Macaca fascicularis: one gene and its partner. The protein of the gene in region 1 purifies or fractionates together with the protein of each later gene. This does not show direct contact. Links are inferred from orthologs where the notes say so. Each region holds a gene or a part of one and is shown in the gene's direction. Other genes may lie near its edges.

Evidence for each region.
Region 2: the proteins of ABL2 (region 1) and RIN1 purify together in Homo sapiens (co-immunoprecipitation; 3 studies listed by BioGRID and IntAct, counting the BioPlex papers as one, with this or other methods). This does not show direct contact. The link is inferred for Macaca fascicularis from reciprocal best matches to the Homo sapiens genes ABL2 and RIN1.

What each region holds. Positions count from the first base shown.
Region 1 is NC_088375.1:36,733,914-36,744,880, reverse strand, and holds the start of ABL2 (tyrosine-protein kinase ABL2), read left to right. Parts: upstream 1-3,711; 5' UTR 3,712-3,979; coding exon 3,980-4,136; intron 4,137-10,937; exon of another isoform or gene 10,938-10,967. UniProt on the Homo sapiens protein: Non-receptor tyrosine-protein kinase that plays an ABL1-overlapping role in key processes linked to cell growth and survival such as cytoskeleton remodeling in response to extracellular stimuli, cell motility and adhesion and receptor endocytosis.
Region 2 is NC_088388.1:8,060,987-8,072,258, forward strand, and holds RIN1 (ras and Rab interactor 1), read left to right. Parts: upstream 1-5,650; 5' UTR 5,651-5,685; coding exon 5,686-5,771; exon of another isoform or gene 5,772-5,797; intron 5,798-5,909; exon of another isoform or gene 5,910-5,915; coding exon of another isoform or gene 5,916-5,929; coding exon 5,930-6,110; intron 6,111-6,212; coding exon 6,213-6,327; intron 6,328-6,406; coding exon 6,407-6,479; intron 6,480-6,590; coding exon 6,591-6,682; intron 6,683-6,831; coding exon 6,832-7,569; intron 7,570-7,884; coding exon 7,885-8,190; intron 8,191-8,450; coding exon 8,451-8,582; intron 8,583-8,698; coding exon 8,699-8,850; intron 8,851-9,351; coding exon 9,352-9,828; 3' UTR 9,829-10,039; downstream 10,040-11,272. Other genes in the region: BRMS1 (breast cancer metastasis-suppressor 1), read left to right, coding at 456-546, 747-874, 1,034-1,113, 1,210-1,306, 1,866-1,958, 3,292-3,356, 3,801-3,840, 4,199-4,206. UniProt on the Homo sapiens protein: Ras effector protein, which may serve as an inhibitory modulator of neuronal plasticity in aversive memory formation. Can affect Ras signaling at different levels. First, by competing with RAF1 protein for binding to activated Ras.

The sequences.
Region 1 (10,967 bases):
ATATGAGAGACACTGTAAAACCGTAAAAAGTATGGCAATAGCCTAGAAACACAGACCGGTGAAGTCAGGGATTAGTGAGGCATTACAGCTCCTTCCTTCTGGAAAGAGTGGTATTGCTCCTGTAATAAGGATGATGAGGATGAAGAATATCTGTGTCTTCAGCACGCCTTGTTGCTGTTGGTGATGTGTCTGATCTTTTATGCTGGCCTCTGGCCATTGCTCACATAAGGCTGTCCCTGTGCTATGTGCACCATCTCTGCTACTTTCTTTCCCTGATTTCGGCCCCTGCCTGGAGCTCTCAGCTCTCTCAATTCAGTCTAAAACAGAATATTTGGGATTATTTTGGATGTTGAGTTGTTGTGGCAGTAACCGCTGCTTATGGTAATGAACCTTAGGTAATTCTCAGGCAAGTCACTTTGGCTTGCTTATACTGAGGTGAAATAGTTTCCTGTACCTAATTAACCAAGTCTCTCTAGTCTATTTCCCTACTCTCCCTATTCTGAAAGTTCTCTTCACTTTAAAAATGAAAGAGTAGAGCTGGGCACCATGGCTCACACCTATAATCCTAGCACTTTGGGAGGCTGAGGTGGGTGGATTGCCTGAGCTCAGGAGTTCGAGAACAGCCTGAGCAACAACAGTGAAACCCTATCTCTACTAAAATACAAAAAAGTAGCCAGGCGTGGCGGCGTGTGCCTGTAGTCCCAGCTACTCGGGAGGCTGAGGCAGGAGAATTGCTTGAACCTGGGAGGCAGAGGTTGCAGTGAGCAGAGATGGCGCCACTGTACTCCAGCCTGAGACTCTGTTTCCAAAAAAAAAGAAAGAGTAGAAAACGCTGGCAAGATAATGGATGTAAACTAAGTTTCCACTTACATAGTTGCTTTAGTCTATATAGGATCTTAAGAATCAACGGTAGAGGAAATCTTCATATGTAAAACAAAGGTATTATGTAATACTTCACGTATACTTTGAAGGTGTTACCCAGGTAGGTATGACGAATAAAGGGATTATATGATTCTACAAGTTTTTATTGGTTGGCTGGTGTTTTTGTTTTTAGTTATATACAGGGTGGCAGGTAGAGGGGGCTCACCTGAATAAATACTTTATAATTTGTCCCATGATCTAAGTATATATACATATATATATATAATTTGAAAAAGTTAGGCTTGTAAAACCTAAAATCATTATGTTTTTTGTATTAATAGTATATGCATATATGACACTAGTTATATGCCAAATGTTGTTTTAAGTACTGTATATATCTATAGACTAATTTAATTTTCACAATATTCCTATAAGGTAGATACTGTTTGTTATCATCATCAGTTTACAGGTAATGTACTGAGACACAAAAAGGTTATGTGCTTTGCCCAGATCAAATAGTTCATAAGTATCAGGGCCGAGTGATGAACCCAAGCAGTCTGGCTTCAGAGTCCCTGCCCTTAGCCACTGCACTCTACTACAGGCTGAGCATCCCTTATCAGAAATGTTCAGACCACAAGTGTTTCAGATTTGCGAATATTTACATACACATAATGAGATATCTTGGGGATGCGACCCAAGTCTAAACACAAAATTCATTTATGTTTCATATATACCTTTATAGACATAGCTTGAATGTAATTTAATACAATATTTAAAAAATTTTGTGCATGAAACAAAGTTATGTTAAGTACTTATGTGTGAAATGTTCCACCTATGGCGTCATATTGGTGCTCAAAAAATTTTGAATTTTGCAGCATTTTGGATTTTGGATTTTCAGATTTGAGATGGTGAACCCATATATTCACCTATTTTTTTTTTTTTTTTTTTTTGAAACGGAGTCTTGCTCTGTCACCCAGGCTGGAGTGCAGTGGCCGGATCTCAGCTCACTGCAAGCTCCGCCTCCCGGGTTTACGCCATTCTCCTGCCTCAGCCTCCCGAGTAGCTGGGACTACAGGCGCCCGCCACCTCGCCCGGCTAGTTTTTTTGTATTTTTTAGTAGAGACGGGGTTTCACCTTGTTAGCCGGGATCGTCTCTCGATCTCCTGGCCTCGTGATCCGCCCGTCTCGGCCTCCCAAAGTGCTGGGATTACAGGCTTGAGCCACCGCGCCCGGCCATATTCACCTATTTTTATATAGTATGCATGAATTAGCAGAGAAACCAAACCATTACCCCCAAATTAAAATTTTCTCCCATGATGAAAATCAAACAGTGAACCAAATTCTGGCTCTGTGACATCTTTATCCCTTGTGAATGAATTTTTTTCAGTAGTTGCAAACACTGGGAATTAGAAGAAAAGAAAGGTATTTTAAACACAGGGAAATTTTAATCCAAATGGAAAATTCATATTTTATCCAGTGTTTACACATAGTGTTTCCGGAAGTTCCCATTTTGGAGGTAATTTCAGTTATTTCTGGCCACACCCTGGATGGCAATGGAATAATTTCATAGTGCTTTTATAACAGGCAATATCTACGTCAGTGGATGGTTCATCTAAGTTCAACCTGGTTCAGGAAAGATATGCAAAGGAGAGCTCCATCCACCTCCTCTCCCAACCCTACCTTTCCAGTGGTTGTTTTGTTCCTTCTTTGCAGTGGCTCCCGTCCTGTCTAATTTAAGCAAAATTTCAGTGTTTTTTTTTTTTTTTTTTTACCTCCATTAACTTATACTTTTCATAAAGCAAATTGGGAAGCCAAAAGAATAACAGGAGAATGATCGAGCTTTTTGAGAATTAAAAAATTTGAATTAACATTAAGATGCAAGTAAGCACCGTGGGAGAGGGGCATGGCGAGTCAATTGTATATAGTATACGTGTGTGTATAAAACACTTCTTTCCTGCCTCATTCACCCTCTTTAGACCGCATAAGCTAACATGAGTAAGTTCTGACTCAGAAACAGGGTCAAAGATGTATATTTTTTCTCCTTTGTCATCAAAAGAAGACCTGACCACGTGCACAGTGTATAAAGGATGCCAGTGGGAAGATTAACTTTACTGTCAGGCATTGTAAGGGAAACAGAAACTCACATGTGGTGAGATAGGAGTTCAAGAGGAATTCATGGTAATATAATATGAGGAATGGGGCTACAATTGCGTCCCCAATGAGACTATAGAAGGCACACAATCCAGGCGAGTGCGATTTAACATCATGAAATAATCTCCAAAAATTAAAATCAAATAAGGTAGCATTTTACTCTCTTCTTGTAAATTTTATACCATTTTAATTTTTACTGGAGGCCTGCTGCTGACAAGGGTATTTAAAGGGATCCCCCTGGGCATTTCAGAGATCCTCAACTGGATGGCAAGGACCAAATAAATGCCTTGTGCTTTTCTGCCCCACCTGTGCCTGCACCTGAGGGGCGCACGCGGGGGCACTCAGCCCTCGACTCACTGATTTGACAGGTGGAAGTGGGATGGGGAAGGCCGGAGACCGACCAACCCCAAAGGCAGTAGCGTGTGGAGCCGAACGTGGGAGGGGGTCGGCTGAGGCGGATTGAGGGGTGGGATGCCGAGGTGCGGCGACAGGACTCGGAGGACGAAAGACTGCAGCAGCGGTGGTCGCCAACTGAGGTGGGCACTGGGGGACCCACCCTGCGAAGAGGCGGGGGCGGGGGCGCGGCGCGGCAAGGCGGGGCGGCAGCCGGGAAGCCCTCCTTCCCAGCGGCGGAGGTGACTGGCGGGCGGGGGGCGGGGGGCGGGAGACGCTCTGTCCCACGCTTTCCCAGCGCTCGGTGGTTTAAAGATGGCGGCGGCGGCAGCGGCGGCGTTTGGGGCGCGGAGCCGCGGGAGGAGGAGGGAAAAGCAGAATCTGTGAGTCGCCTGGAGGCAGTGCGGCGGCTGCCGTGAGGAGTCCGGGTGCGGAGCCGCCGGCGCCCCAGCCTCTCAGGGCCAGGGTCTGGGCTGGGAGGGAGAGGCCGGAGCAGCGCCAGGAGCCCGAGGCCGGAGTCGAGGAGGAATGTGACCAGGGGTCGGCGGGGGCGCGGGAGTACGCGAGAGCAGGGATGGGGCAGCAGGTGGGCCGCGTCGGGGAGGCTCCGGGGCTCCAGCAGCCTCAGCCCCGCGGGATCCGGGGCAGCAGTGCAGCCAGGCCCTCCGGCCGCAGGCGGGACCCGGCGGGGCGCACCACAGAGACCGGCTTCAATATCTTCACCCAGCATGGTGAGTGTGTCCGGGAGCCGGCGTGAGGGCGTGCGGGAGGCCGGGGGTGGGGTCGGGGCGGGGTGGGTGACGGACGGGCTGCCCGGGGGGTCGGGGGTGGAGGGTGCCTGAGAGTGGGGGCGGAATCTGCTGCCATCTGGTTCAGTCCTGGGAGGCGAGTCACACCCCTCCCCCCTCGCGTCTCCAGCTTGGCTGGCAGATCCCGGGGGCGGAGAAGGAAAGAGAAGTGGGCTTGGGGACCCTGGATGGTCTGTCCTCTACTCTGGGACGGGACTATGCGGCTGGAGAAAGAGAGTGAATGGCAGCTTCAGGAGAGGGAAGGATGAAGGGCAGTATGAGCTCAGTCCCAGAGGTGGGAGCATAAACCCGTCGTTAGTGAAGGGGAAATGGGTTGTGTCCTAAGGGACTGGGAAATAGGAACCGAATTTCAGGAGATTGTGGCGTAGAAGGTAATGTGTTTACGTCAGGTGATGAGCAGTGTCACGATAGTGAACTGTGGAGTGCCCAGAAATGCCTTTCTGTAGGAAAGATGAAGGTAGCATCTCATCACTTTTGACATGCTTTTGTGGTTTGTTTTGTTTTGTATTTCGTTTTTACTAGAAGTGAAAGGCTTTGCCAAAGCCTCTGTACTATGCTTCAGAGTAGGACACACAATTCTGAGATTGCTGGCAAGGGTTAGAGGTTGGTGGGCATGGTTAGGACTTCAGTCAGTATTTTTCCCCTTCGTAGTGTGTGTGTGTTCGCGTGCCCATATACATACTTACATGTATGTGTGCTCCCTGTAGTCTGAAACCTATTATTTTGATCTCATTGTCAATGTATTTTTAGAATAGTTGTCTCCAAACTGTTGTTGTTTTTTTTTTTTTTTTGAGACAGAGTCTCGCTTTAGTGCGCATTATGGAGTGCAATGGCGGGACCTCGGCTCACTGCAGTCTCCGCCTCCCGGATTCAAGTGATTCTCCTGCCTCCCGAGTAGCTGGGACTGCAGGTGCGCACCACCACGCCTGGCTAATTTTTGTATTTTTGGTAGAGACGGGGTTTTGTCATGTTGGCCAGGCTGGTCTCGAACTCCTGACCTCAGGTGATCCGCCTGCCTTGGCCTCCCAAAGTGCTGGGATTACGGGTGTGGGCCACCTTTCCTTGCCGCAACTCTTTTTTTTTTTTTTTTGAGACAGAGTCTCATTCTGTCACCCAGGCTGGAGTGCAGTGGCACGATCTTGGCCCACTGCAACCTCCGCCTCCCAGGTTCAAGTGATTCTCCTGCCTCAGCCTCCTGAGTAGCTGGGATTACAGGCGCCCGCCACCATGCCTGGCTAATGTTTTGTATTTTTAGTAGAGATGGGGTTTCACTATGTTGGCTAGGCTGGTGTGGAACGCCTGACTCATGATCCACCCGCCTCAGTCTCCCAAAGTGCTGGGATTACAGGCATGAGCCACTGCGCCTGGCCACATGTCTCCTATTAAAGATGTGCTTGAGTGTCTCTTTCAGGTATATGAACACTTTGTGAAGGTGATATATGAGCTAATCTTTATTAAAATGACTTCCTAAAACATAGGATGGAAGAATGGATTAGTAGTTTACAGGGAAGAAATCATCCAAGTAAGCTTCACTTTGTGGGAAGTGTTACTATGCATTAAACTTGGCCTAGTAGGCAGTGATGATCCTCCTCCTCTACTATCTTATTCGGTATATAAGATTTTCCAAGAAAGAGGAAGTAGTGAAGAATGGAATAGGAAGACATTTTGAGGATTTGGATCCATGGAGAGGGAGAACAGGTTGGGCAGAAGAAACAACTTGAGCAAGAACATGGGAATAGATATAATTTGATGATAGGATAGTGAGGAGACATCTGTCAGGAATGAAGCATCATTATGAGTTGGAAGAAAAAGATCATAGAGCAAAAATTGGAAGAGTCGAGTTCTGGTTCTGGCTCCACCTGGCTGGGTGATTTTAGTCACCATCTTTGGGTTTCTTTATCTGTAAAGTGAGGAGGTTGGACTGGATGATCTCTAAGATACTTTCTGATTTTAAGATTTTATGATTCTAATTAAGAAGCAGTAGAAAGAAAATTTTGATAGGCTGGATGGGACTGGGTTATGGAAAATCTGGCAGAGAAGTTTATATTCGTTTACCTGCTTGGCTAGTCTTCACCTGAAAGACTGGCCTTGAGTGGTGGCAGTGGAAATAGGAGGAGTAATTTCAAGGGGCCTTTCATTCATTCAACAAACAAGGGGTTTTTTTGAGCACCTATTACATACTAGGTTGTGGGAATGTTGCTGTGAACATAACAGAGTCCCTGCCCTTTGGAACTTAAAGGACTTTATGATTTGATAGAGGATGAAAGAAGAGAGATCACTTTGGAGTATTTGTTAAGGGCATGAACTCTGGACCCATTTTTCCTGGATTTGAAACCTTGCTTGGCTGCTTATGAGCTTTGTGACCTGGGACAAGTTATTTAACTTTTTTGTGCCTTGGACTCTTCATTTGTAAAGTGGTGATAATAATAGTATCTAGTATTAAATGAATAGTGGCTGGGCACGTAGTATGAGCTAAATGTGTGCTAGCTGCTGCCATTACTAATACTACTGTTATTATTAAAAATAGGGATAATTCAGCTGGGTGCGATGGCTCATGCCTGTAATCCCAGCACTGTGGGAGGCCGAGGTGGGTGGATCACGAGGTCGGGAGTTTGAGACCAGCCTGAGCAACATGGTGAAACCTTGTCTGTACTAAAAATACAAAAATTAGTTGGGCATGGTGACACGTGCCTGTAGTACTAGCCACTCAGGAGATTGAGACAGGAGAATCACTTGAACCCGGGAGGCAGAGGTTGCAGTGAGCCAAGATCGTGCCACTGCACTCCAGCCTGGGCGACACAGCAAGACTCTGTCTCAAAAAAAAAAAAAAAAAAAAAATAGGGATAATTCAAAGATGACACCAGGATTCAGAACCTGGCTAACTGGAATGATGATGATTCTATTGACAAGTTTGGAAGTTAGAAGCTGATTGAAAAAATGGGAATAGGGCAAGTTTATTGCCAAAGACTAGTATGAAAAGAAAGGAATTAGCAAATAATATAGGAAACAAAGATGAAGTGAGTACTGTTTTTTAGACAGATGAGTTTTAAAACTTTTTTTCTGTAGATCATAGTTTCTTAACCTTGCCGGCATTGTTATTTTGGGTTGGCTAATTCTGTGTTGTGGGGGGCCGTCTTGTGCATTGTAGGATGTTTAGCAGCATCCCTGGACTCTACCCACTAGATGCCAGTAGCACCCTCTTTTTGCCCCTTACTTGTCACAAGTAAAAATGCCTACAGACATTGTTCAATCTCTTGGGGGGAGTGGAATTGCCCCTAGTTGAGGACACCACTTAGAAATGTGATAGATTCTGAACTGAATGAATGAATGAACTAGATTCATAAGCTTCTCAGTGGATGTATCATTTGACATTAACATGGTAAATCTAGATGCTCGAATCTAGTGTACAAATTACTGTCTTGAGTTTGCAGTATTAAGGTATTAGCACATAATTTCATATATGAACGTTAGGTCTGTTAGACTCCTGAGGTTTTTTTTGTAGGTTTTAATGTAAGCCAAATAATACATTTAGTTAATCAGTAAAAAGGTACATGCATTATGGAAATGGTTTGTCAGAGTCCAGGACTTTTCTTTCTTTAGCTAAAATGGTCATTTTTCATTGTTAATAATATGTGGGTAAGCTGTGGTGATAATTGGCCTTGCCAAAAGTGATTTTTGTGAATATACTTTAGAAGGAACAAAATAGGGCCGTTTTTGGTATGAAAGGAGTGAGTGCTGTGTGACTTTTCTGAGCTCTGCTATTTTTTTTTTTTTGTAAACACTTACTTTTATTTATGTTTTATTTTAGAGAAAAGTCTTGCTCTGCCACCCAGGCTGGAGTGCTGTGCTGCGATCATAGATCACTGCAGCCTTAAACTCCTGGACTCAAGTAATCCTCCTGCCTCAGCCTCCCGAGGAGCTGAGACTACAGGCACATGCTACCACACCTGGGTAATTTTTTGTATTTTTTTTTTTTTTTTTTTTGTAGAGACGGAGGTCTCACTATGTTGCTCAGCTGTTCTCAAACTCCTAGGCTCAAGTGATACTCTGCCTCAGCCTCCCAAAATACTGGGATTATAGGTGTGAGCCACCGCGAGAGGCAAGCTCTGCCATTAAACCTTTTTGGTGAGCTGATGTTTTGTGACTAATAATCTAGGGTTGAATACTTACTTGTCTGTATCACATATATCTTTTAACAGTTGAATGATTTTACTTCAGCTTCCGTCTCTCATTTTCTAAAAATTCTATTAAAATTTAACATTAGGCTGGGCACAGTGGCTCACACCTGTAATCCCAGCACTTTGGGAGGCTGATGTGGGTGGATCACCTGAGGTCAGGAGTTCGAGATCAGCCTGGCCAACATGGTGAAACCCCGCCTCTACTAAAAAAATACAAAAATTAGCCAGGTGTGGTGGCGGGCACCTGTAATCCCAGCTACTTGGGAGGCTGAGGCAGGAGAACCCCCTGAACTCAGGAGGCAGGGTTTGCAGTGAGCCGAGATCGTGCCACTGCACTCCAGCCTGGGCGACAGAGCAAGACTCCCTCTCTAATAAAACAAACAAACAAACAAACAAAAAACCTTAAATTATGAAGTTTGGAATAACAAAAATTTTTCCTTAAACTCATTATTTTAAGTGATCTGATTTATTTATTTATTTATTTTATTTTGGATCTGTGTTTTTTTTGTTTTTTTTGTTTTTTTTTTTGTAGTGAGGTAGGGTCTCACTCTGTTGCCCAAGCTGGAGTGCATTGGCGAGATAATGGCTCACTGCAGCCTGGGACCTCCCAGGCTCAAGTGATCCTGTCACCTCTCAGCCTCCTGAATACCTGGGACTGTAGGTGTGTGCCACCATGCCTTTCTCTCTCTGTCTCTTTTTTTTTTTGGTAGAGAGAGAGTTTTGCCATGTTGCCCATGCTGGTTTTGAACTCCTGGGCTCAAGTGATCTGCCTGCCTTGCACTCCCAAAGTTCTGGGATTACAGGTGTGAGCCACCACACCCGGCCAGTAGTTCATGTGGAATGAAGGCTGTCAGCACCCCAGGTTGAAAACGATACTATGGAAAGGACAGGAAGGCTGTTGCAAGGGAATTTTAATTATGGTGACTTAATATAAGAACTAAACTTCATTTTTTATTTTTATTTATTTTTATTTTTTTCTTGAGCACCAATCCTGAAGACTAAACTTTTAAAAATAAGTCAGCTGTTAGATTTTTATTAACCTCCAAATCTGTGTAAGTTATAGATGTGTAGTGGGGGTCCGTATTTTTAGCAAAGTAGTAAGTTGTAATACAGATTCTGTTATCGTAGCCCAGTTGGCAGTAAAATTCCAAGTAAAGTGATGAAGTCTGAAGTTTCTCCATAAGGGTCTTCAGCCTGCTTTATTCAATAGTTTATTTATTTACTTAGGTGGGTTTTTTTTTTTTTTTTTTTTTTTTTGAGACAGGATCTTGCTCTGTTGCCCAGGCTGGAGTGCTGTGGTGTGATGATAGCTCACTGTAGCCTCAAACTCCTGGCTGAAGCCATTCCTGACTCAGCCTTCTGGGAAGTTGGGACTATAGGTGTGTGCCACCATGCCTGGCTAACTTTTAAATTTTTCTGTAGAGACGGGATTTTGCTGTACTGCCCAGGCTGGTCTTGAATTCCTAGGCTCAAATGATTCTCCCACCTTGGCCTCCCAAAGTGCTGGGATTACAGGCATGAGGCCCTGCATCTGGGGCCTCATTTCTTTTTTTTTTTTTTTTTGAGAGGGAGCCTTGCTGTGTCTTCCAGCCTGGAGTGCAGTGGCGTGATCTTGGCTCACTGCAACCTCCACCTCCTGGATTCAAGCAATTCTCCTGCCTCAGCCTCCGGAGTAGCCGGGATTACAGGCAGCTACCACCACGCCCGGCTAATTTTTGTGTTTTATTAGAGATGGGGTTTCACCATGTTGGTCAGGCTTGTCTTGAACTCCTGGCCTCGAATGATCCACCCCCCTCAGCCTCTCAAAGTGTTGGGATTACAGGCGTAAGCCACTGTGCCTGGCCTTTGTTGTTGTTGTTGTTGTTGTTGTTTTAAAGGTATTTAATTCCTCTGAATATCATCTTTAAAGGACCTGACTTGATTTTTGTCAAAATAAATCATAAGATGTAACCAGTCTGTGGGTTCTTCATGAGTTTCAGGCCAGGCGCGGTGGCTCACACTGGTAATCCCAGTACTTTGGGAGGCTGAGGCGGGCGGATGACAAGGTCAGGAGATCAAGACCATTCTGGCCAACATGGTGAAACCCTGTCTCTACTAAAAATACAAAAATTAGCTGAACGTGGTGGCGTGCACCTGTAATCCCACCTATTCAGGAGGCTGAGAGGCAGGAGAATCACTTGAACCTGGGAGGCAGAGGTTGCAGTGAGCCGAGATCGTGTTACTGCACTCCACCCTGGGCAATGAGCAAAAATCCCGTCTCAAAAAAAAAGTTAGACAGGCATGGTGGCGGGCACCTGTAATCCCAGCTACTCGGGAGGCTGAGGCTGGAGAATCACTTGAACCCGGGGGGCAGAGGTTGCACTGAGCTGAGATGACACCACTGCACTCCAGCCTGGGGGACAGGGCGAGACTCCATATCAAAAAAAAAAAAGAGTTAAGTGTAAGGCAGTAAGTACACTGACCTCCCCATGAATTTTTCACGGCACAAACTTTAACACTTTCTGCAGAGTATCCTGTTCGTCTAGGCTTTTCATAGAATGTGAAGTTAATGGCATGTGATGTTACTTAGCGTAAT
Region 2 (11,272 bases), on another chromosome or scaffold:
CGAGCACACACGCACACAGCCTCTACACACGAGCACACACGCACACACACATAGCCCCTACACACGAGCACACATGCACACACACAGCCCCTACACACGAGCACACGTGCACACACACACAGCCCCTACACACAAGCACGCATACACACACACAGCCCCTACACACGAGCACACATGCACACACAGCCCCTACACACGAGCACACATGCACACACAGCCCCTACACACGAGCACACATGCACACACAGCCCCTACACACGAGCACGTGCGCGCACACAGCCCCTACACACAAGCACACACACACACACAGCCCCTACACACAAGCATGCATACAAACACACAGCCCCTTCACACAAGGACGCATGCACACACACACACATGAAGGACGCACATGCACACATGTGGGTACCCACCACCCCTCCCCAGAGCTAGCCCTTACTGGCCTCTTGTCCCAGAGATGGACGATGAGGACTATGAGCGGCGCCGCAGCGAGTGTGTCAGTGAGATGCTGGACCTAGAAAAGCAGTTCTCGGAGCTAAAGGAGAAGTGAGCATGGGGACACCTTGGGCTGGGTCTGCGAGGAGCTGGGATGAGGAGGTGGTGGGCCTGGTACTGGGCAGGCGTGGTTGGTGCCCAGGAAGTGCACGCCTAACACAGGGCTTGCTGTGGAATGGGTGCTGGGTACGTGTTTGCCCAAGAGCAATAGGTGAGCAAATGGGTGCACGGCTGCCTTTTTTACCACCCAGGTTGTTCAGGGAACGACTGAGTCAGCTGCGGTTGCGGCTGGAGGAAGTAGGGGCTGAGAGAGCCCCTGAATACACGGAGCCCCTTGGGGGGCTGCAGCAGAGCCTCAAGATTCGCATTCAGGTGGCAGGTCTGTGGGTGGTTCTGTGCCTTTTTCCCCTCCCAGAACCCATGGCACCCTGTCCCCTTCTTCTCTTGTTCCTCCCTGGCCTCACCCTTTGCTTTCAGCCCTCCTGTGTGGGCACCAGGCTCCCCAGCCAAGCAGGGTCCCTCCTTCCTTTCTCTGCAGGGATCTACAAGGGGTTCTGTCTGGATGTGATCAGGAATAAGTATGAATGTGAGCTGCAGGGAGCCAAACAGCACCTGGAGGTGGGCCTGATTGGGCACACTGGGGACAAGGCGGGGCGCAAGGCCTGAAGTGAGCTCTCCCCATCCGTCCTGCTGAGCTATTGCCCCCTCTTCCAGAGTGAGAAGCTGCTGCTCTATGACACACTGCAGGGGGAGCTGCAGGAGCGGATCCAGAGGCTGGAGGAGGACCGCCAGAGCCTGGACCTCAGCTCTGGTGAGCGCGAGAGCCCGGGCACCCCGGCCCTGGGCTTGGCTCTGTCAACGCCCACCCCTTTCTAGACTTCAGATGTCCTGAAGTCAAGGGGACAGTCAGAGGACCTGCCTCTTGGGGTCAGTGTGAGGACTGAAGGAAACCAGGCCTGGAAAGGGCCTGGCACACAGTAGGGGCTCGGGCAGAGTGGGTCTCCCTGCCCTCTTCTGCCCCTGCTCTTTCCAAAACAGGTATCAGTGTGACATGCAGTCCCATGCAATAGCTCTAGTCCCCTCCACGTTCATAGTACCTGTGTTCATGTGGAGTCCTGGGGTGGCAGGAATTGTCATCCCACTGTCCACTAAACAGATGAGGCTCACAGAAGTGCAGCGGCCTCTTCCCGGGGTTGCACAGCTGTGCGGGCAGGACCTGAACAGCCCTAAGGGGCTTCCTACCCCAAGCCCAGGGTTGTGATGGGGCAGGGGATATGAGGCCAGGCTGGCCCATGGTGGGGGCAGAGGCTACAGAAGAGAGAGTGTCCTGTGGGCCAGCACCCCAGTTCTAACTCTGGGTCTGGGGGCAGAATGGTGGGACGACAAACTGCACGCCAGAGGCAGCTCCAGGTCTTGGGACTCCCTGCCGCCCAGCAAGAGGAAGAAGGCACCTCTGGTTTCTGGTATCCTTTCACCTAAGGTGGCCTAAAAGGTGGCAGGATGTTAGGGTCACCTCCAGACCTGGGGGAGAGGTTTGGAGGGGACATGGAGGACAGTCGCACTAGATGCACTTGTGGTTGCTTGGTGTCATGTGACCATGTCCAGGCAAATCCAGCTGTCAGCAATTTCTTACAGGGTCTTGGGTCTCTCTGGGCTATGTGGACCCTAGGAAAACAGAAACGGGCTAGGCTCAGTGGCTCACATCTATAGTCCGAGCACTTTGGGAGGCCAAGGCAGGTAGATTGCTTGAGCCCAGGAGTTCATTTCGAGACCACCTTGGGCAACATGGTGAAACCCGTCTCTAGAAAAATTAGCAAAAATTAGCCAGGTGTGGCGGTGTGCATCTATAGTCCCAGCTACTCTGAAGGCTGAGGCAAGAGAATTGCTTGAGCCTGAGAGATCAAGGCTGCAGCGAGCCATGATGTGCCACTGCACTCGAGCCTGAGTGAGGTTTGGCCTTTGAGGACTTTCCATCTCCTGGGGTTGTCTGAGCGGGTCCCCAGCTCTCCCTGGGGAGCCTTTGCTCATATCCCACCCTCCTCTTGGAAGTCCTGCCTGTCCTGACTGTCCAGGGCTCATGTCAAACGTTACCTCCTCTGTGAGGCCTCTCCGGTCTTACTCCAGTGCCTATGGCTTCACTCTCCTGTGTGTTCCTGTGCCCTACCATGGGGTGCCCACATCCCAGAGGGCACCAGCTGCCTCCGCCCCTCCCTAGGCAGGGTTAGCTTAAGCTTAGTCCAGGGCCTGCTGTGCTTTCATCTGTCCTGGCAGAGCTGAGTCCTCCTGTGCCCCTGAGGGCATTCCTGCAGCAGCCAGCCTTAGTCATTATGGCCACCTGGTGCTGGAGAGCAGGCCCAGGCAGGGAGGGAGGAATCTGGAAGGCCGTGACTTGAGCGAATGAGAGGTGAAGGCATGGAGACATCAGGTAGGGAGCACTGTGGGGAAGGGGAGTTGTCTCTGAAGGGAGAAGCCCTGCGTCTGTCTTTGGATCGGGGAAGGGGCCAGGTCAGGGCTGTGCTGCAGGGTGAGATGGGATGGGCCTCAGCCAGCTGACCTCAAGACGAGGTGAGGGTGAGCAAGGGATGGGGAACAACACTTGGTGTCCTCCATGGACTTGGTTCCAGGAGGACCCTGGAACTGGGGGGAGAAGAGGTAGGAGGTGGAACCTGAGCTCGGACCCAGATCCTCAGCTCCCACTTCATGCTGTCTGCTGTACCCCCACTCCTGAATGTCAGGTGGGTGGCCCTGCCCTCGTCACCTGCCGCCTCCACTGGGCTTCCTTGACCCCCACCACAGGCCCATACATCGTGTACATGCTTCAAGAGATCGACATCCTGGAGGACTGGACGGCCATCAAAAAGGTGGGGCCGCTGCTGCCCATGTGCCCTGCCCCACCTCAGGGCCCCCCACCCTGGCAGCAGCTCTGCCATCTGCAGGCCTGGGAGTTCTCTGCTCACCAAGGCTCCCCCATCTTCAGCCCAGGGTCCCTGGATCGCAGTTGGCTCACAAGTCCTCTTGCTCAAGGCGGCCCTGGGAGAAGGGATTTCTAGTCTGTGTCAGCCCCTTCCTGTTCCAGGGCAGGTTTTGATGGGGTGGGAGGGGGGAGGGGGGCAGGGAGGCGGGAGAGCCGTTGAGCTGGCCAGCGGTCAGGAGCATGGGAGCTCTGGCTTGGGGGGCCCTATGTTCCTGGCCCTGGGGGCATAGCACTAAGGCAGCAGCCCACACGCCACAGAGGTGGGAGGTGGGGCAGGGATTGCCAGGCTGTAGGTGGGCTCTCAGGGGGGCTTTTCTTCTCATCCACCCAGGCTAGGGCAGCTGTGTCCCCTCAGAAGAGAAAATCGGATGGTAAGAACTATGGCTGTTGTACGGCCTCCCCTGCCCGCCTTGCCATCACCTTCCCTCAGCTCAGCCTCCAGGAAGGAGCCCAGAGAGAGGCTGTGGCTGTGTCAGAATCAGTGGCCCAAGAAAGTTAGGATGGTCTAGATTTGAGGGGCTTGTGGGAGTTTGAGGAGCAGGAACCAGGATGGGGCTGGGGAAGCCTGGGTTGATGGAGCTCCCACTCAGGAGGGGTCAGGGAGGGCCGTGGAGCTGCCCAGGAGGCCTGTCCTGGGCCAGCCCAAAGTCACTCCGCTCAGTAAGTGGCTGCCCCCCTCCTTTCAGCTTCCTCACTGGTGACAGTTTTCTCCTTCCCACATACGCACAGGACCGTGACCCTGCTGTTCAGAGCCAGGGGGACCCTCAGAGCAGCTGGCACCGCACCCAGGATTCTCATCTTCCTGCTGCAGACAGGCAGACCCACAGGCCCCTCAGGGTCTGCCCAGCCAGGCTCCTGTGGTGCTGCTGGGCCCTCCCACTCCGCTGGCACTGGCCTGGACTCCTCCTCTGCCCTCCTCGAGGCCTGCACAGCTGTGGCTGTGGAGCCGACCTGGCCAGGCAAGGCTGCTGTCTCCATCCCTGAGCCGCCTGCCACCTCCCGCTCCTGAAGATCCGCCTCTTGGGGCTCCCCTGACAGAGAAGACAGCTGAAGTCAAAGCCACATCCTCTTGCTGACCTTGGATGCAGGCTCTCCGGCCTCAGGGCCAGGGAGCCAGGCCCCACTGTGCAGGAACTCTGAGTCAGACGTGATATCTAGGGGGGCTGTCCACCCTGGCTGGGGCTGGAGGCGAGATGCCAGGCCCCCCAGGTTTTCTCAGGGCAGTTCTTGGTGTCTGCCTCTCAGATTTCAAGGACTAGAATTAAAACCTTTCCTGGGATTCTGGTGTGCCCCGTGTATGTGTGATTTACCTTGCAAGAGAATCAGGGCTTCTGTGGGGAGCACCTGAACCAGGCTGACTTCTGAGGTGCCTGCAGATTGCCACTCCTTGCACTGCCCAGCAGAGGCTGGAGCACTGTGCGTGGGGCCACACTGGGGAGGGGGAGGTGGGCGCTGGGCTGCCTGGCACTGGGCAGAGAACATATGGCGCCAGCGGAGTGCCTCGGGTGGGGAGGATGGGTGCGTGTGCTTGAAGCCTGGGTCATGTCTGCACCTGTCCCAGTTGCCTGGCAGATTGGCAAGGCAGGCTGGCAGAGCCTGCATGCGTAGGAGGCAGCCGGCAGCAGCACCATGTGCTAACGACCTCACAGCCAGACTCCCCCTGGTTAGTGCTGAGTGTCAGAACCACCCCCAGAACCTCAGTTAAGCAAATAGGTTGGTTTCCATGGAGACGTGGCATATTTTCTCCATGGCAACCTAAAATCCTAAAACCCATGTTCAGGAATGAGTCATCTATGGACAGTAGAGGGTGCTCTCCCACAAGGCTGACCTGAGGCCAGGGGCAGATGAGCAACTGACCACAGACCCAGAGGTGCCCCCAGAGTGTGGCTGGGGCCTGCGGGGACTGAGTCGGCCGTTTAACCACTTCCCGCCCACCTGTGCAATTTGAGGAGCTGGTGAGGCTGCAGGAGGCCCTGTGTGGAGGTGGCACCCCCCAGCTGGGGCCCTCAGAGCAGGGCTAGCACGGAGGGGATCCCTGACCCCCGAAGCAGGGTCCAGAACAGAGGAGGCAGGCACTGGCCAGGCGGGGTGGACACACAAGAGTTAACAGGCGGGTGTGACAGGCGGACCGCCCTCAGGAAGTGTTACTCACTGGGGATGTGCGTGCCTTGCCTTGGGGTTGGATTCTCTTCCTGAAGCCGAAGGAGCTCCCAGCCATGGAAAGCCCTGGAGAGTCAGGCACGGGCCCTCCGGGAGCCCCCAGCCCATCCAGCTTCACTCCTGGGCACCTGGAGACAGAAAAGTTAGTGAAGTTGGCAGGGCAGCCAGGTGGGGCAGGGAGGGGCTGCGAGAAGAGGGTCTATCTGGGGATGGAGAAGGTGGGAAACCTGGGAGCGGGGAAGAGGAGAGCAAGGGTCCCAGCCCCTGGCTCCCTGCTCAGATCTGGATGCCCGCCCTCAGGCCAGCCCAGGACCCACTGTATGACGTGCCCAATGCCAGCGGCGGGCAGGCAGGCGGGCCACAGCGGCCGGGACGCGTTGTGAGCCTGCGGGAGCGCCTGCTGCTCACCCGGCCTGTGTGGCTGCAGCTGCAAGCCAACGCAGCCGCGGCACTGCACGTGCTGAGGACCGAGCCCCCGGGGGTGAGTCTTGCCCCCAACCTCCAGGGACTGGCCAGCCAGGGGTGGGAGGGAGAAGGGTGGAATGCCAAGGTCCTGAGCTGCCTGAGCCCTATCCACTTGCAGACGTTCCTCGTGCGGAAATCTAACACCCGACAGTGCCAGGCCCTGTGCATGCGACTGCCCGAAGCCAGCGGCCCCTCCTTCGTCTCCAGCCACTACATCCTGGAGAGCCCTGGCGGTGAGGGGCTGGCCTGGCAGGAAGGGGCTGGAAGGAGGGAGGTTCCCTAGAGAAGCACCTCACTTCCCTCCTCTCTCAGGCGTCTCCTTGGAGGGCTCGGAGCTCATGTTCCCAGACCTAGTCCAGCTCATCTGTGCCTACTGCCACACCCGGTGAGTCTGCCTGCAGGGTGCCCGGTGTCCACGGGCCCTGCTCCTTGGGACAGCCCATCCTCCCCACCCCCTTCGGCCCTCACTCCCTTCTGCTCCCCTCTCTGGCCTCAGGGACATCCTTCTCCTCCCGCTGCAGCTCCCCAGAGCCATCCACCGTGCAGCCACCCACAAAGAGCTGGAGGCCATCTCCCATCTGGGCATTGGTAAGAGCTCCTTGCCACCCATTGCACAGATGAAAAGGCTGAGGGGAGGGGAAGGCTCGCAGCACACGGCCCGAAGCCCATGCCTTTCCTTGGTTGGGAAACTTCCCCTAACCAATCCTGGAGGCCCCAGTTGGTTTCTTGTTCCCTAGAGTTCTGGAGCTCCTCCCTCAACATCAAGGCTCAGCGGGGCCCGGCTGGAGGCCCAGTGTTGCCCCAGCTGAAGGCCCGGTCCCCTCAAGAGCTGGACCAGGGCACCGGAGCCGCCTTGTGCTTCTTCAACCCCCTGTTCCCGGGGGACCTGGGGCCCACCAAGCGGGAGAAATTCAAGAGAAGCTTCAAAGTGCGCGTGTCCACAGAGACTTCCAGCCCCCTGTCTCCACCTGCCGTGCCGCCTCCCCCGGTCCCTGTGTTGCCAGGGGCAGTCCCCAGCCAGACAGAGCGGCTGCCCCCTTGCCAGTTGCTGCGGAGGGAGAGTTCAGTGGGGTACCGCGTGCCAGCAGGCGGTGACCCTAGCCTTCCGCCTATGCCCTCCCTCCAGGAGGTGGACTGCGGCTCCCCCAGCAGCTCCGAGGAGGAGGGGGCGCCAGGGTCCCGGGGGAGCCCAGCGACCTCACCCCACCTGGGCCGCCGGCGGCCTCTGCTTCGGTCCATGAGTGCCGCCTTCTGCTCCCTACTGGCGCCGGAGCGGCAGGTGGGCCGGGCCGCGGCGGCACTGATGCAGGACCGACACACAGCCGCAGGCCAGCTGGTGCAGGACCTACTGACCCAGGTGCGGGCCGGGCCTGAGCCCCAGGAGCTGCAGGGCATCCGTCAGGCACTGAGCCGGGCCCGGGCCATGCTGAGCGTGGAGCTGGGCCCTGAGAAGCTGCTGCCGCCTAAAAGGCTGGGTGAGGCTCCGTCTCTCCATAGCTCCAGCACTGCCCCATCCGACCCTCTGCTCCCCTCCACAGCGCCAGCCTGTCTGATTCTGTTCTGCTGCTTTACAAACCCACCCTGTCTTACCACTGTTCGAGAGAGTTCCATCCTCTCTCTCCCCAAACTCTTCTGTCTCACCCAGGCTACCTCCTCCTGCTTTCCTTGCCTCTCCTCCCCGATTCTACCCCTGCTCCCTTCTCCCCTGGCCTCTGTCCCCCATCTCCCCTGGCCTCTGTCCCCCATCTCCCCAGTCTTCCCCTGACCCCTCCCTGCCCCTCCTCTGGCAGAACATGTCCTGGAGAAGTCATTGCATCGCTCTGTGCTCAAGCCTCTCCGGCCCATCCTGGCAGCCCGCGTGCGGCGCCGGCTTGCCGCAGACGGCTCCCTGGGCCGCCTAGCTGAGGGCCTCCGCCTGGCCCGGGCCCAGGGTCCCGGAGCTTTTGGGTCCCACCTGAGCCTGCCCTCCCCAGTAGAGATGGAGCAGGTGCGCCAGAAGTTGCTGCAGCTGCTCCGCACCTACTCACCCAGCGCCCAGGTGAAGCGGCTCCTGCAGGCCTGCAAGCTGCTCTACATGGCCCTGAGGACCCAGGAGGGTATGTCTCTGCCACCACCTCACCCTGCCCTGCCCCTCTGAGTTGGAGGTGGGACCCCCAGTGGCAGGTCCCCAGGACCCTGGAATGGCCCTGCGGGAGAGAATGAGCCCACCCTCCCATCTTGCAGATTGCGAAACTGAGGCCCAGAGAGCAGTGCGTTCTCTCCGAAGCCCTGCCATGGTTGCTAGGCCATGGGGAGGGGTCACTGCCTAAAGCAAGGACTGCACCTGAAGCTTCTTCCTCTCACCATGTCCCCACAGGGGAGGACGCGGGTGCTGACGAGTTCCTGCCTCTGCTGAGCCTCGTCTTGGCCCACTGTGACCTTCCTGAGCTGCTGCTGGAGGCCGAGTACATGTCAGAGCTGCTGGAGCCCAGCCTGCTCACCGGAGAGGGTGAGGGACCCCCACCCACTTCCCTGCCTGGGTGGGCCCTGAATAAGCAGGGAAGGGGAGAGGGGATGGGTGCCCCACACCCAGCCTGAGCCGTGTTATTCCACCCTGTGTCCCAGGTGGCTACTACCTGACCAGCCTGTCTGCCAGCCTGGCCTTGCTGAGTGGCCTGGGTCAGGCCCATACCCTCCCACTGAGTCCTTCGCAGGAGCTACGGCGCTCCCTCAGCCTCTGGGAGCAGCGCCGCCTGCCTGCCACCCACTGCTTCCAGGTAACAGGCCCTCCACCGTGTCCTCAGAGCCAGACACCATCCCCGCCTTTCACCTTCCTGTCCTTGGTGAAGAGTCCAGACTCTGTAGCCAGATCCCGGGTTCTAATCCCAGCTCTGCCACTGGGTTGTGGGGACTTGGGCAAGTTACTTAACTACTTTGTGCCTCAGTTTTCTCATCAGTACAATGGGGTAATAGGACCTACCTCGTGGGGTTGAGGTAAAGATTAAATGAGTTAATGCAGGAGAGTACTTGGGGCACAAAGTGTGCACTATCAAAGCTTCGTCTCAGGCTTGTGAGCTCCCCACTGGGCTGTCCTGCACCTTCAACTGTGGCCCACAAGCCGACCCCTGGAGCTCACAGAGCTTTTGCCACTTGGTTCTCCCACTGGATTTCCACCTCCCCACCCTGTCCCTGCACAGCCCACACTGGTCCCTCAGCTTTGGAGCCAGATGCATGCCAGTCAGGGCTGAGTACTTGTTTTTGCTTCTCCTCCTGCATAGCACCTCCTCCGAGTAGCCTATCAGGATCCCAGCAGTGGCTGCACCTCCAAGACCCTGGCCGTGCCCCCAGAGGCCTCGATCGCCACCCTGAACCAGCTCTGTGCCACCAAGTTCCGAGTGACACAGCCCAACACTTTTGGCCTCTTCCTGTACAAGGACCAGGGCTACCACCGCCTGCCCCCTGGAGCCCTGGCCCGCAGGCTGCCCACCACTGGCTACCTTGTCTACCGCCGGGCAGAGTGGCCTGAGACCCAGGAGGCTGCAACAGAGGAGGAGGGCAGAGGGCAGTCAGAGGCAAGGAGCAGAGGGGAGGAGCAAGGGTGCCAGGGAGATGAGGACGCTGGGGTCAAAGCCAGCCCCAGGGACACTCGGGAAGAGTCTGACACAACTGCTGAAGGGGGCCAGGGTCGAGCCCGTGAAGGCCCTGCTCAGCCAGGGGAGCCAGAGGCAGAGGGAAGCCGGGCAGCAGAGGAGTAGCTTGAAGTGGCCAGAAGGGTCGTTTGGGGCGGGAGACCTTGCGCCTGCTGAGAAGTCCTTTTAGCGCCAGCAGCCCCACCCAGGGCCCTGTCCAGTGTCTGCCACCACCTTTGTCTGATACTTGTCTCCAGGGAAGCTGAGGGAACTGCCACATCTGAGGAACTGGAATAAAGATGAGGGGGCTCGGGGGACCCCCAGACTGTGTGCCCAAGGCCCCTTGCCTCTTGTTCTTCTCACCCAGCTGAGGGTGAGCCAGCCTGCAATGGGGAGTGTGCCAAGTGGGGGCGAATCTGATGGATGCCCAACCTCTGACATGGGGAGGGTAACAGTCTCGGCTCCTTTTACCCTTCCCCCCATGGGCGTGACTGAGTCAGGGCTCCACCCCAGTAGCCCCCACCAGGCTGAGACTTCCAGACCCTAAAAGGTTCCAATGGCTCCTAGGTGTCAGGAGGATTTAGAAAGGCCACGGAACAGCAACAAAGGCTCAGAGCCCACCCCTGTCCTGGACACCCGAAGGACCTGCACCTGCAAGCATCAGTACTCTCATCTGTAAAGTGGGGACACTATTGCTGCCCTGCTCGGTTCCCAGAAGTGTTTCAGTGATCAAAATGGGTGATTTTGCACAAGCAGAGCTCATGGCAGAAAGGGAAGGAGAGAGCTGGGCTGCTAACTCTCTCCTGGAATCTACTCTCTGCCAGACAGGGCTCCCATCTGCTGACACCTAGTTATAGGAGGTTATTCCCCCGGAAATCAGGCCCTGGGGAGAAAGTACCCAAGTTACAGTCTCTCCCCAAGATTTGGAGTCCTCCCAGGCCCTCCAGCATCTCTGGGGAGATACACCAGCTGGCAGATAAGCTTCCAGAATGGAGAGGGGGCTCAGAAACCATGCTCTCTGCACTAAACTCTTGGCCGTCACAAAAGCTTTACCTGGCCGTGGCTTGTTGGGCCCACTGAGGTTCAGGAAAGTGACTCCCAGGATGTCATACAGCAAGTCCTTACAGGCTCCCCCACGCAAACCAGGGCAGCAGGTTCCAACTCCACCCTCCATTCTAAGTCACCCACAAAGGCCGGGGCAGCCCCCAAGGAAGCCCAGAGCAGGTAGCAAATCCAAACAAGGAAAAGTGCCGACGACCAACCACGAGGGGGCGTGCATGGCCAGGGAAGCTGCCGAGAGGGAAGCTGGCCACACAATGCTCACGGTACCCAGAGGTGAGGGCGCCTCCAAGGTTGTAGCAGCACAGGGGGTCCCTGGCAGCGTCAGGCAACCTGGGGACAGTGCAGGGACCGAGGCTGCTGGCCCCCAGGTCCCTTAGGTTCTGGGGTCTGGGTAAGGCCAGCCTCTCGTGGGCCATCCCCAGGAAGGAAGGAATTGTCCCCCCGTGGAGGACGACCCCAGAGGTTCTCTCCTCAGGCACTGAGCACAGAGGGACATCAGCCCACATTG